Coturnix japonica: one gene and its partners. The protein of the gene in region 1 purifies or fractionates together with the protein of each later gene. This does not show direct contact. Links are inferred from orthologs where the notes say so. Each region holds a gene or a part of one and is shown in the gene's direction. Other genes may lie near its edges.

Evidence for each region. Proteins that work in one complex are often made in the same cells at the same time.
Region 2: the proteins of ACTL6A (region 1) and ARID1A purify together in Homo sapiens (affinity purification with mass spectrometry; 5 studies listed by BioGRID and IntAct, with this or other methods). This does not show direct contact. The link is inferred for Coturnix japonica from reciprocal best matches to the Homo sapiens genes ACTL6A and ARID1A.
Region 3: the proteins of ACTL6A (region 1) and PBRM1 fractionate together in Homo sapiens (co-fractionation; 4 studies listed by BioGRID and IntAct, with this or other methods). This does not show direct contact. The link is inferred for Coturnix japonica from reciprocal best matches to the Homo sapiens genes ACTL6A and PBRM1.

Annotation. Positions count from the first base shown.
Region 1 is NC_029524.1:15,354,299-15,359,175, reverse strand, and holds the start of ACTL6A (actin-like protein 6A), read left to right. Parts: upstream 1-1,675; 5' UTR 1,676-1,813; coding exon 1,814-1,838; intron 1,839-2,811; coding exon 2,812-2,888; intron 2,889-3,108; coding exon 3,109-3,283; intron 3,284-3,887; coding exon 3,888-3,988; intron 3,989-4,877.
Region 2 is NC_029538.1:45,800-50,091, reverse strand, and holds the end of ARID1A (AT-rich interactive domain-containing protein 1A), read left to right. Parts: intron 1-486; coding exon 487-2,046; 3' UTR 2,047-3,442; downstream 3,443-4,292. UniProt on the Homo sapiens protein: Involved in transcriptional activation and repression of select genes by chromatin remodeling (alteration of DNA-nucleosome topology).
Region 3 is NC_029527.1:336,589-340,907, reverse strand, and holds part of PBRM1 (protein polybromo-1), read left to right. Parts: intron 1-798; coding exon 799-954; intron 955-3,175; coding exon 3,176-3,246; intron 3,247-4,319. UniProt on the Homo sapiens protein: Involved in transcriptional activation and repression of select genes by chromatin remodeling (alteration of DNA-nucleosome topology). Required for the stability of the SWI/SNF chromatin remodeling complex SWI/SNF-B (PBAF).

The DNA of each region.
Region 1 (4,877 bases):
TTTTCCCCTCCACTCTCCAGTGCATCCTAGCACTGCTATGGCAGATAAAATACATTCAATGCTTCTATTTACTTTGACTTTATAACTCTTGTTTCTGTGGAAAACATGCAAAAAATAAAGAAATAAAACAAAGGTATTCAGTTACATTATGCACAGTGGTGGCAGAACTCTAGATAGGATAGCCTACAAAAATTCGATGAAATAATCTTAGATTTACATCTCTTTAAGCTGAAAAAAAAGATTCCTGGACTCCATTTCTCCTCTGCATTGAATTTTGAGAGGCCAACCACACTGTTGTAAAGTAAATGCAAAGTCACTGTATAATACTATTAACACAGTGGCGATGCTGCATGATGTAACTACCAACACAACTGCAAAACAGTGGGAAAAAAAAACAAGGCTAAGACAGCTAACAGCCTGAACTTCCCTCCCCAGATCCTCCAGGCTTCTTTGCACAGATTTAGTCTCTTATCTTTGCACTCACCAAATCCTGAGGCTTCCAGACAACAGCAGGACTTGCAGCATACATTCAGTTCTCACTATCGGCACCAGGCAATTGCTGAGCAGGAAAGATTGGTCGTGCACAGGAACGCCCTCTCCCCATGCTGCACAGCCACACGCCTCTTCTGCTGGCACCACTGGGAGATCTCAAGTGCTGCAAAAGTTACAGATAAATGAAGCAGCAGACGGCTGTCTTGGTGTCTCACAGAATGACCTGGGTTGGAAGGGACCTCAAGGATCATGAAGTTCCAACCCCCCTGGGCCCCCTGTCTCACCCACAAAGCTATCATAAGCCACTCTTGGGGAGAGCAGGGTCTGCCCCAAAGCATCAGTTACCACAGGGATGTTATGAACCACTATGAAAACAAAGCCCAAGTACAGGCACAAGCTGAAGAAACGTCCCCCAGTGTTTTAACACCCATTTTGCTTTACAGCCTTCCCCAACTGCAATTAATTCATCCTTCTCCACCAACTCTACCTTGGGTATTAGTGCCACGTGCTAGAAATCACTATAACACATTAAAGGGCACCATAAAATAAATCAAAGCACACCAACATTACACAGTACAACTAGTGGCAAAGAAAGATTTGTGCTGATCTTCCTCATGCAAACACCTATAAAACTCTTTGAAAAGGCTGACAATAGCAGGACATGGGGAAATGGTTTGAAGTTAAAAGAGGGAAGATTTAGGTTGGATGTTAGGGGGAAGTTCTTCACTAGGAGAGTGGTCAGGCCCTGGAACAGGCTGCCCAGGGAGGTTGTGGATGCCCCGTCCTTGGAGGTGTTCAAGGCCAGGTTGGACGGGGCCCTGGGCAACCTGATCTAGTAAAGGTGTATGTTTGGTGGCCCTGCCATGCAGGGGGGTTGGAACTACATGATCCTTGTGGTCCCTTCCAACCCGGGTCATTCTGTGATCCTGTGGCACACCCACCTCAAGAGCTCCTCCCTCAGCTCCTCCCTCAGCTCCTCCTCCAACTCCTCCCTCAGCTCCTCCCGCCCCTCTCTCCTCACACCGCCCTTCCCGCGCACTGCACCTACACTTGCTTGCTCTCACTCTCCTCTACCAAGCTCCTCACTTCCCGCCTCATGATTGGCTACTCATAAGCAAGCCCCTCCTCCCTCCCTTCTCTGATTGGCCGCTGTGCCCACTCAGCCGTTCTGTTGGGTAACGCTCTGCAGTGCGGGCGGGTGGGCGGACGGCGGCGGCGCTGCCATTGGCGGGAAGGCGCGGGCCTGCGAGCTGCGCTGAGCCGGGCGGCGGGGCGAGAGACCGAGTGCTATTGTTAGCACAGCGCTGAGCAGCGGGCAGCCATGAGCGGCGGTGTGTACGGCGGAGGTGAGTCTGATATAACGACACTGTTGAGCTCCCTCAGGCCCGGCTCCCTCCCGCCGCATCGCTCCGTGTGTGAGGAGAGGAGGCCGCCGCGGGCCCAGGGTCCGTCCGACCCGTCTGGGTCACCTGCAGGGATGGGGCACACACAGCAGTGCCAGGGTCTCACTGCCCTCTCTGAAAAATTGCCCCCTAACATGCGACCTAAATCTCTTCCTTTAGTGTGGAACCATTCCCCATCGTCCTGTCACTATCAAACCATGTAGAAAGTCAGTTTCCCTCTTGTTTATAAGCTCCCTGTAAGGCTGCAACAAACTGTCACTGGCACCTTCTCCAAGCTAAGCAAAGCCAGCTCCCTTTCTCCATAGCAGAGGAGCTTCAGCCCTTTGATTGTCTTGACCCTCCTCTGGACTCACTCCAACATCTCATTCTTATGCTGGGGGCCACAGGCCTGAATGTGGTACAACAGATGGGACTTGGCGAGGGCAGGGCACAAGGGGATGGTCACCTTCCTTGCTCTGCTGGCCACCCCTCCCCTGATGCAGCTCAGGATGCTGTTGGCTTTCTAGGCTGAAAGCACACACTGCTGGCTCATGTCCAGCTGTCTGAGTCTCAAGTCCTGTGCAACACCTTGTACGTGGCCTTGTTGAATGTCATGAAGTTCATGTGGACTCGCTTCGCAAGCCTGTGTTTAGATGCAGCTCTCGTCTGTTAAAATTGCCCTTTTTCTTTTGCCAATGAAAGGTATTGCAGTGTCCTGGTTACAGCCTATCTGTAACCTCCTGGTGGCTCTCAGTTAGCTTGAATTCTGAATAGAGAAATTGCTCTGTGTCTCAGGAAAGATGCTTTATCATATTGGGCTTTTTTTTGTTTGTTTGTTTGTTTTCTGGCAAGCAAAGCAGACAAGAGATAAGTTCAGGTCAGGATTGCAGTAGAGCACAATAACCATTCACTACTTCTTTGTTAACAATCTTTGCAGATGAAGTTGGGGCTCTTGTTTTTGACATTGGCTCGTATACAGTGAGAGCAGGCTATGCAGGCGAAGACTGTCCAAAGGTAAGAATCTTTATGAACTCAGTGGGATTACAATTGGAGCTTGAACTTGTTTATTAGTCATAAGCTTCCAGAATATACTGTTTATTATTATTTAAGGAAAACTCTGAATTTTATTAGCCCCCTAAAAAACAAACCAATGAAAAACAAAACCAAAAACCAACAAAACAACCCACATCCAAAATGAATAACCTTCATCAATATTTTACCTTTTGCTTTACAGGTTGATTTTCCAACAGCTATAGGCGTGGTGCTAGAAAGAGACAATGGCAGCACTCTGATGGAGATAGATGGTGACAAAGGCAAACAAGGGGGCCCAACGTACTACATAGACACCAATGCCCTGAGAGTCCCAAGGGAAAATATGGAGGCCATTTCACCTTTAAAAAATGGAATGAGTATGGTGCTCTGTCTTTTTTAGCTGTCTTTAAGATACAATTGTTAGGCTGCAACAAGTCATAGCTTTCATGTAAACAGATGCTATCCATGTCAACTGTTTTTTCCTTTGGACTTAGAAAGCAGGCTCGTAAAGAAACGGTTCTGCTTTCACTTAAGATATTTTAATACGATAATGAGCATTTTTATGTCTTAATGGGAGACTTGTAGATTCTTGTTTATTTGATGGCTTTAATTTAGCTGTCTCCTTTGATAAAACAATTAAGAAACAAGTTTTTGGAAATAGTTCCTAATATTGTTCCTGTAACGTGTATGGACAGAGGCTATCAGCCATAAGAATGGCTCAATTTACAAAATGTCAGTGGACTTTTATTGTAACTTATTTATTTATTATTATTTATAATAACAATTCTTATTTGCTGTCATGATGCTTAAAAAAATATAGATGAGAATTTGGCAAAGCAGGAGGGGTATAGGGCTGCTGAGGACGGCTTTTGTCTGAAGAGCTCTTAGGAAAAAAAAAAACATCAGGAAAACTTTATGTGGATTTATGAAGTAGATCAAAAGTTAGAAGTAACTAATCTGCTTGCTTCGATGTCGTTGCAGTTGAAGACTGGGATAGTTTCCAGGCAATTTTGGATCACACTTACAAGATGCATATTAAATCTGAAGCGAGTTTGCATCCTGTCCTTATGTCTGAAGCACCAGTGAGTAAAAGGAGCTTTGCATTGTGAGGAGACTTATCAGTATCTTCTTGCTGAATCTATAGACATTAGTCTTGGAGAAACCCAGCACTGGCTTGTAGGTTATGAGTGTTAAAACTGAACTACAGAAGTAACATTTAAAAATATCATGCAGGTTCTGGAAAGTATTCTCAATAGGAAAAATGTCAAAAAAAAGCCCAAATTTGAAAGAATTTCTATGCGTTTCATTAGAACACACTTACTATGTGTTACTGTATTTCATGTATTTAAAAAAAAAAAAAAAAAAGTAGTATAAAATCAAAAATAACCTCACTTGACAGCACAGAATAAAAGCAAAAAGTTGTCTGAATGTCTTCATATATTACACTTAATCCATCTTTGCATGCAATCAGCCTGCCATCTAACGTGACAGGGAATAACACGTGTAGTGGAGTTTTAATTTCGTTTCAGCAAATGCTCCTGTAACATAAATGAGGTGCATGAACACAGATTTCTGGAGAAAAACGTGAACAAAGTTTCTGTCATTTAGTTGTGGAAGTGCTGAGTCACAGCTTGAAGCAGTGATTGAGCACCTCAATCACTGGGCAGGGCCAACTCAGGGATGCATTCAATGTACCAACCCCTTCCTAGACCTAATTTAAGGGTTGGCAGTGAGAGTCTTTTGTTGGGGATCCCTTTTACCTGAAGCTTCTAAGGATAAGTAGTTTTTTTTCCTTCATGTCTGTGTCTATGGCTGCTCTATTTGGGCTGGTTCTCATTTGCTGTAGCTGAAGGCTTTGCCACTCTGTTGTTATTGCTGTCTATCACATTAGAGTGTTATGCTTGAGGGGCATAAAATCTGAAGGCATTAAAGTAGACCTGTAATCCAAGAGTTTTGCCTACTTTCTGTAAA
Region 2 (4,292 bases), on another chromosome or scaffold:
TGCCTAGCCTGATGCAATGGCATTCACCTCTAGCTCTGTCTTTCCCCATGGGTCAGTGTACAGTGTGGTTTGGGTGCTATTCTGAGGGCCAGCCTATGTCTGTGAGTTACCTTGTGCCTGCATGGCTGTTGTCAAAGCTGTTCCACAATACTGTGCATTGCCCTGCTCCTTTCTGTGTGTTAATCAAAGAGGAGATGAAACCAAGAGTGTCTGTGTTTGCGCAGGTATGCATGTGTAGACTGTGCTGGTGTTGGATCCTGGCAGTCAGGGTCTGTTTTCCCCTTGTTTCTGTTCTCAGAGGACAGAAAGCTCTCTTCTGCTAACAGCTTATTGCCAGCATGAACAGATCTCATTAATGAACAGCATTACTTAAGATCTCTGCCCTTAATGCAGTATTTTTCCAGTTGTACAGTGGCCTAAGTTGCTTTATGATCACTGTTTCCTTTCTTCCTTCCTTCTCCTCCTGTTTTTTCTCCTCCCCCATAGCTGCCAGGCCTGCTGGAAGTCCTGGTGGAGTATTTCCGGCGCTGCCTGATCGAGACCTTTGGAATCCTGAAGGAATATGAGGTGGGAGACCCAGGGCAAAGAACACTATTAGATCCCCAGAGGTTCTGCAGATCTTCAGCTTCTTCTCATGAGAAAGGGGAGGAGGATGAGGAACCACGGAGCCTGAAGTATGAGGAGGAAGAAGAAGATGAGGAAGAGGAGGAGGCTGCATTTTCAAGCAAGGACAAAGCACCTCTAGAGTGCAGCGAGGAGAAATTAGTTAGTAAATTTGACAAGCTTCCGATCAAGATTGTGCAGAAGAATGACCCGTTTGTGGTTGATTATTCAGACAAGCTGGGACGAGTGCAGGAGTTTGAGAGTGGCCTGCTGCACTGGCGGATTGGTGGTGGTGACACTACTGAGCACATTCAGACCCACTTTGAGAGCAAGATGGAACTGCCTATGATTCACAAACGAGCACCTTGCGATTCTGTCTCAAGGAAACGCGCAACAGCTGAGAGCAATCCAAGCACTAGGGAAGAAGCTTTTCCATCTGACAGCTCCTCGGAGAAGAGAATAACTGCCACCATGGATGACATGATTTCAGCATGTCCAAGCTCATTATCAGGCGAGGAGGAAGAGGCCAAAGCTTCTGAAACAGAGAAGGAAAGTAAGTTTCCATTTGGCATTAGTCCAGCACAGAGTCACAGAAATATAAAAATTCTGGAGGATGAACCTCACAGTAAAGATGAGACGCCCCTCTGTACTATCCAAGACTGGCAGGACTCTCTGGCGAAGCGCTGCATCTGTGTCTCCAACATCATCAGGAGTTTGTCTTTTGTGCCTGGCAACGACACTGAAATGTCCAAACATCCAGGCTTGGTGCTGATCCTGGGAAAGCTGATTCTCTTACACCACAAGCACCCGGAGCGCAAGCAGGCACCGCAGACTTATGAGAAGGACGAAGAGGAGGACAAAGGAGTGGCCTGCAGCAAGGATGAGTGGTGGTGGGACTGCCTCGAAGTCTTGAGGGATAATACATTGGTCACATTAGCCAACATTTCTGGGCAGCTAGACTTGTCTGCTTACACAGAAAGCATCTGTTTGCCAATTTTGGATGGACTCCTCCACTGGGCAGTTTGTCCATCAGCAGAGGCTCAGGACCCCTTTCCAACGCTGGGGCCAAATGCGGTCCTCTCCCCTCAGAGACTGGTTTTGGAAACACTCAGCAAACTCAGCATCCAGGACAACAACGTGGATTTGATTCTTGCAACTCCCCCTTTCAGTCGCTTGGAGAAGCTGTACAGCACCCTGGTGCGTTTCCTAAGTGACAGAAAGAACCCAGTGTGTCGAGAAATGGCTGTGGTACTACTGGCCAACTTGGCACAAGGGGACAGCCTGGCAGCAAGAGCAATTGCTGTGCAGGAGGGGAGCATTGGCAACTTGCTGGGTTTCTTGGAGGACAGCCTGGCTGCCACGCAGTTCCAGCAGAGCCAGGCCAGCCTGATGCACATGCAGAATGCGCCCTTTGAGTCGACAAGTGTGGACATGATGCACTGAGCTGCTCGGGCACTGCTCGCCCTGGCCAAGGTGGACGAGAACCACTCAGAGTTCACGTTGTACGAGTCGCGGCTGTTGGACATCTCCGTGTCGCCTTTGATGAACTCTTTGGTTTCACAAGTTATTTGTGATGTACTATTTTTAATTGGCCAGTCATGACAGCTGTGGGATCCGAGACCCTGTGTGCGTGTGCGTGCGTGGAAAACTTAGAAACTGACTGTTGCCCTTTATTTATGCAAAACCACCTCAGAATCCACTGTCTGCCCTGCGCTGTCCTGCTTCTCCCTGGGGCAAAGATGTCCCCATACCCTTTCCCCTTCCCCTGCCCTTCAGATTTGTCCTGAATCCCTTATTAAAGGAGACAAAGTTCTGTCTACATAGAAGACTTTTTTTTGTTGTTTTTTTTATTTTAACCAAAGTTACTGTCGTTTACAGTGAGTTTGGGGAGAATGACTTGCCGTGTTATCACATTGACAGGCTCCACTTTCATAACTGTTTTTAATGGTAAACTCTGAAGGACAAAAGTGACTGCTGAACTCTGTGGTTTATCATTGTATATTCACAATCTTGCAGGAACCAAGAAGTTACCAATTGTGAACAGACCTTGTCCAAGGGAGGCCTGTGCAGTAGCGTGTAGAACTTCATGTACTGTACACCTTAAACTGTAAACATACTGTAATACCGTCTCACAAGGAAAAAGAAAAAAACGCTGGATCAGCAGCAAGCTGTAGTTTTTAAAAATGTTTTTAGTTAATGTTGAGAAGAAAAAAGGCTTTTCCCCCAAAGTATCATGTGTGAACCTACAACACCCTGACCTCTTTCTCTCTTCCTCCTTGATTGTATGAATAACCCTGAGATCACCTCTTAGAACTGGTTTTAACCTTTAGCTGCAGCCTGAATGCTGCCACGTGTGTATATATCTATGACGTTGTACATTGCACATACCCTAAGAATCCTTGCAGTTTTGTTTGCCTTTTCCCACCCCTTTCTAGTATGACGAGTTAACGAGTTGATGACCTGCAAAAGCGAGACACAATTATTTAATCTCTTGCCAGACATCCCTCCCTGGAGGATGCTGTACAGGTCTCCATGTATAAAGTCATTGCTGTCTCAGCAGCCAATCAACTTATACTTTATTTTTCCTGTTTTTGTTTTCTTTCTAATCGAGGTGTGAAAAAGTTCTAGGTTCAGTTGAAGTTCCTGATGAAGAAACACAATTGAGATTTTTTCAGTGATGACTTCTGCATATTTGTATTTCAGACGATGTAGCTAAAAACTTGATGTAAATTCCTCCCTTTTTTCCTTTTTTGGCTTAATGAATATCATTTATTCAGTATGAAATCTTTATACTATATGTTCCACGTGTTAAGAATAAATGTACATTAAATCTTGGTAAGATGTTTGTAAGGGTTTTCTTTATTAGCAGAGCACAGGGCTGACCTTGTTGCTGTTGGGCCCTATAGGTGTGGTGTTGAAGGTCAGTTTTGTTACCATGCAGGAAGGAGGCCTCAAAGCTCCAGTACAGCATCTTGTTTGTCAGCACAGCCAGGTAACAGAGCAGCACCTTGCCCTGAGTTGCCAGTGCTGTGTGGTCTGGCTTTCCTTCTCTGCTGGGCTTGCATCATGTATGCTCCAGGAGGGTGGATCTGCTGTGTGAGGTGAAGCTCTGGCGTGGAAGAACAGACATATGGCTCTCAGGGTGGAGAAGGGAATTGCTCTGAAGGGAGGCACATTTCCCTGTCAGCTCTCTAAAATGGACAGTTTTCACTCCCCTTGCATTTTTCACTCAGTTTTGGAATTGTGATGTGGACTTGGGCATCTTCCAAGGATGGGGTTTTCCAGTAGATCTGATGCCCTTCAGCACATGGCCAGAGTTCAGGCTCTTCATGTGGAGGCCTGCACGTTTTCATGGTTAGTAAATGGATATTTTTTCATCCTCCAATGACAATAGCAGCTGGCCAACTAGAACTGCACTGAGCTCACTTAAGCAAAAGTGTCAGAGGAGAGAGAGGCTTGGCATGGATTCCTTTCCTCTTAGGAATTCCATTTTAAGGACTCTCCCAGACAAGCCAGAGGCGAGGAGCTCCTGCAGTTTCGGCTGGTAAACACTTCAGAAGAAAGTCTGTTTGATTCAGGCATTATTCCTCACAGAAATCTGAACGTCAGGAGTACAGTGAAGGGCTGAGGGAACTGCGAGCTTTGGAGGAGGGGGCTGGGGGGAAAAAGGCGGTGAGACAGAAAAGCCT
Region 3 (4,319 bases), on another chromosome or scaffold:
GATAGCAGTGAACCCAAGTCAAATCCAGAATGAGCCCTAAAGTCTTCTTCCTACGTGCTGAAAAACAAAATTAAGAGCAGCAGTGCAGTGTCTTTGTGTTCCCTGTTAAGATGCTTTGAGAGCAGTGGGAACAATATTCGGTGAGGGGCCGGATGAGTCCCTTGTCGGCTCTTTTACCTCCAGTCAAGTGCTGTGGGTGCAGGTCCCTGCACAGCCTGCGCTCCCCGGCCTCACATCGTAGTGACTTCCTTAATGTGTACTGAACATGGTGTGAGAACAGTCACCCCTGTCACCACGTTCCATTTTAACTATATGAGTGTCCCAGGGCTTTTCAGTGTAAATTTTGCATACGCGCTGCAGAAAAACGTACAGATCTTTGTTTGTTGTGGTCAGGTCTCTGAGCCGGCCCACGCGCCAGGCGGTGTGCAGGGCTCGTGTAGTCAGTGTCGTGTTTGCAACCTGTATGCAGATGGCAGAGCTTTGAGCTGTGTTAAAAGCGCTTGTTAGTAACATTTAATTGTGGCTGAGTTTATTCCTCGTGTTAACACGTCTCAGTATTCAGCATTTGTTGCCCCCATGAGAAATGTACGAATACACTAAATACTAATTCATCCACAGCGTAGTGTCTCATATCGGTAACTGTATTTCATTTTCGAGATACACTAATTGTAGTCTCGTCTTGCTGTACTAAGGGTGCTTTCGATTTCATTTTATTGTTTTGTGCATAGTGCATGATTTACTGTATAGATCATATTGCATGTCATTGATGCATGTTTGAAATTTGTTGTGTCCCTCAAGGCATGATAAGTGGCTATCCACCGGTGCTGCCACCTTTGCAGGGCCCAGTTGATGGCATTGTTAGCATGGGCAGCATGCAGCCACTTCACCCAGGGGTGCCCCCACCCCACCAACTCCCGCCAGGTATGCCAGGCATCCCAGGCATCCCGCCGCCCGGTAAGAACTCATCCTCATTGGCTCTGTGTTTCATTGTCATGTACGTGCTGTTTAACGGTTGTTACAGGAATTACCTGCAGCTTGTTTGGATGGTAGCGCAGTGAATTGTTTCTGCAGGTTTGTTTAACTGCAGCACAGATGGTGCATTGCTGAGTGCAGGGGGGGTGCAAAGCGATTCCATTGGCAGAATACACACCTGGTAGAGGAACAGCAAAAGGCCACTGGAGAAATGTGAGGCTGCTCCATCAGTGCTTTTGTACCAGCCAAAAAAATACCTGAGAATTACCAAATGTCTGACAACCCGCAGTCGGCTTGTTCGTATCCCTGTGCCACCCTCTCCACACTGGAGTGAAATAAGTGAATTTCAAACGGAATTTGAAATGAAATGTGTTCCCTCATTTCTTACTGAGCTCATTTTCAGTGTATGAGCTGATGAACGTTCTGGATGCACTTTGATGCACCCAGAGGTGTCGGACCCATCGGCCACTGCACACCACTGTATGTTACTATGAAACTGTGTGTGGGTTGTGCCTTGCAGCTGGAGCTGGGAGCTGTTGGCAGTGAGGTGAACTGACTGCTACTGGGACCAAACTCTGATTTTTTGAAAGCACGTTTACTCCACATTTGCTATTTTCTTGCCACCCTGTTGTTGACAGGTAAGGCTGAACAAATCATACCACATTTTCTGGCTTTAATGCCAATAGTGGCCATTTTGTGGGGAAAAATGCTCACCTGCCCTCTCATCCAGTTGCCTGTGGCTTCTTCCAGTAGTTACCTCTGCTGACTCAGGTGGCTGTTAGAGATGTGCATTGCATCCATTCGGCAGTTAAACAAGCCATGGGCAGAAGTGCTGTTTGCCTCCCCTGCCCCTCTGCAGCTGTGTTGATGGAAGCCCTGTTGGAGCTGTATGTCTGCAGATCGCTGTGATGGTTGGATGTTGTTTGCTTGCTTTTGTTTGTTTTTCAACCCGTCAGTGTTAGTTTGCATCTTCGCCAGTAGGCAAGGATCACCATAAATTCACATAGGGTAGGATAAGTGCTATGTCTGAGCTTGCCTGCAGCTCACCGTGGTGCTGACATGTAAGCACACAGCAGCAGCAGCAGCAGCATACAGATATTGGGAGGCGACTCTGGGACAGCACGTTTCTTTGCACAGTGTTTCCAGCTGAGCTGCGTGTGTGAGCAAAGCAGTGCCAGGGATGGGGGTGGTGTTAGATGGGGCTGGGTGGGCTCAGGGTGAGGCAGGTGAGGGTGTCCCCTCCGGACCTGTTCCCTTTGTACCACAACAAAGATCAGTGCTGCATCCCACAGCTCGCACTGTTGGTGTTTTTCCCGACTTCTGACTTAGTACAGGTGCATTTCAGATGGGGGGTTGTAATCGAATGGAAAATCAACGTGAAGTCTGCTTTAGCATGAAGAGCGCAGTGACACGGCTCCTGGTCACTGATGCAGAAACCTGCCTGCAAATTCAAGCCTTAGGAAGACTCTTAATTATTATTTGGCATCTTTTGAAATGAAGGAATTAAAACAAAAAGTGGCATGGAGAGAAAGAAGCGGCAACACGCATGGCTTATTTTAATGTATGCCTAATAGCAGGGGCTGCACACTGTGGTCTGTACATGGGGATATCCATGTGGTAGGGAAAAGCCTCTTTGTAGAGCTGGGGAAAAAACTGACCTGCCTTTGTGCTTTCGTTTTTCTAATATTTTCCTGTGTCTCGTATGAGACTATTCAAGCTGAACCTGTACGTGGTGTTTTATCTATGTACATATTTATATGCAGAAGTTATGCAGTGGCTTGGCTTTCTTCCTGCCATGGGTGTATTTTATACCATTAAACACCAGGAAATGTTGGGTGTTGCTAACGCAAATCAGCTTTTCCCTTCATGAGGATTTCAGGAGGATTATGTCAAGCCAAAGGTGTAATGAAGGAAATGAAGTAGCCAGGCCACACTGCGTAAAGGAGAAAAGGAAGCTTTGCATTGCTGTAGTGAAATGAAATCCAGCAGGCCGCACATCAGTGCTGGGAGTTGTTCTGGTGCCTTTTTTGTTGTTCATACAGAAAATAACAAGGTGTTCCTTATTGTGGGAAAGCGGGATGTTTGAATGTTCCCAAAGTAGCTTTAAGCAATGATTTCAGTCTGAATGTGCACTGTAGAAGACCAAAGAGGTATTTCTCTCTGCTCTGAAGTAAGACTAATCGTTGTATATTTTGGAATATAGGTGTTATAGGCCAAAATGTGTCCCCCATGGTAGGCACTCCAGCCCCCGGCGCAGGTCCCTTTGGACAGCAGGTGAGTGTGAGTCCTTCTTGCATTATTTGTGAGGCTCCAAAGGTCTGGATTAGCATTTAAACAGTTAAGACATAAGGAATGCACACAGCTTTTTGCAGAGAGAACAGGAACCCCAGATGCACACCACTATATTCAGAACCAGTTAATACCTCTCTCTCAGTGCCTGTTTGTATTTCTTGGTTGATTTGTTATTGGACTAATTGGGTTCTGCCCGGTGGGATAAGTTCTGCAATATAAGCAAAACAGGTTTCTTTTCCTTTCTGCTGAGCTAATACAAGTCACGTAAACACACAGTTAAGCTGCTGGCAGTTTGGGCTTTGCATGCATTGGAGATGCAGAGCAGGTGCTGTCCACTTTCTTAGCCATGGCTTAATGGAGAAAAACTGTTCAGTTTCTCCCAGATCTTACTCACCAACAAAGCAGATGTTCATCGGCCATTTATGTCTGGGAGTTTTGATGCCGGTGATGATCAGTTTGTTCTCAATGTAAACATGGGTTAAATGTTCATCACGCTGAGTTTTATGGATCACACTTGCATTTGGTGAGAGGGTGTAAGGAAAAACAGAAGCTGAGTAAGAAGGCAATAGAGTGTGTTTGTCACGGCAGCGAGGTATTTAAACCATAGGTCGGCTCTGCTAAGAGTTCTCAGTACTGCTGGTAAATGGCAGCTGTGGGAATTCTGTGGGATGGGGATTTCTGTGACTGCAGTTTTTGTCTGACTGAGATTCACATTTATTCTGGGAATCATCCCAATCTTCCAAGGATCAGGATTGCTTTGGGTTACATGCAGTAGGCAGCCCAAAAGCAAGATAAAGCCCACGCTGTGCACATTACAAATCTTCTGGTCAAATTTCGGAAAGCGTAAAATAGAAACAGTGCGAGGGGGGGTAATTAGGGGTAATGGAAGAGAGGAGAAATGGTGGTAGTGGTGATGTTCTCTGTTAAATGAGGTTTGTTCACACGTCTCTCTGTACATGTCAGTGAGCTCAGCAGGTAAGGCTGGCTGGAGGAGGCTGTCCTGTGGGGAAATCTGTTGCACCTTTGGTTATAACCAAAGTTCTGCTGTATGAGGA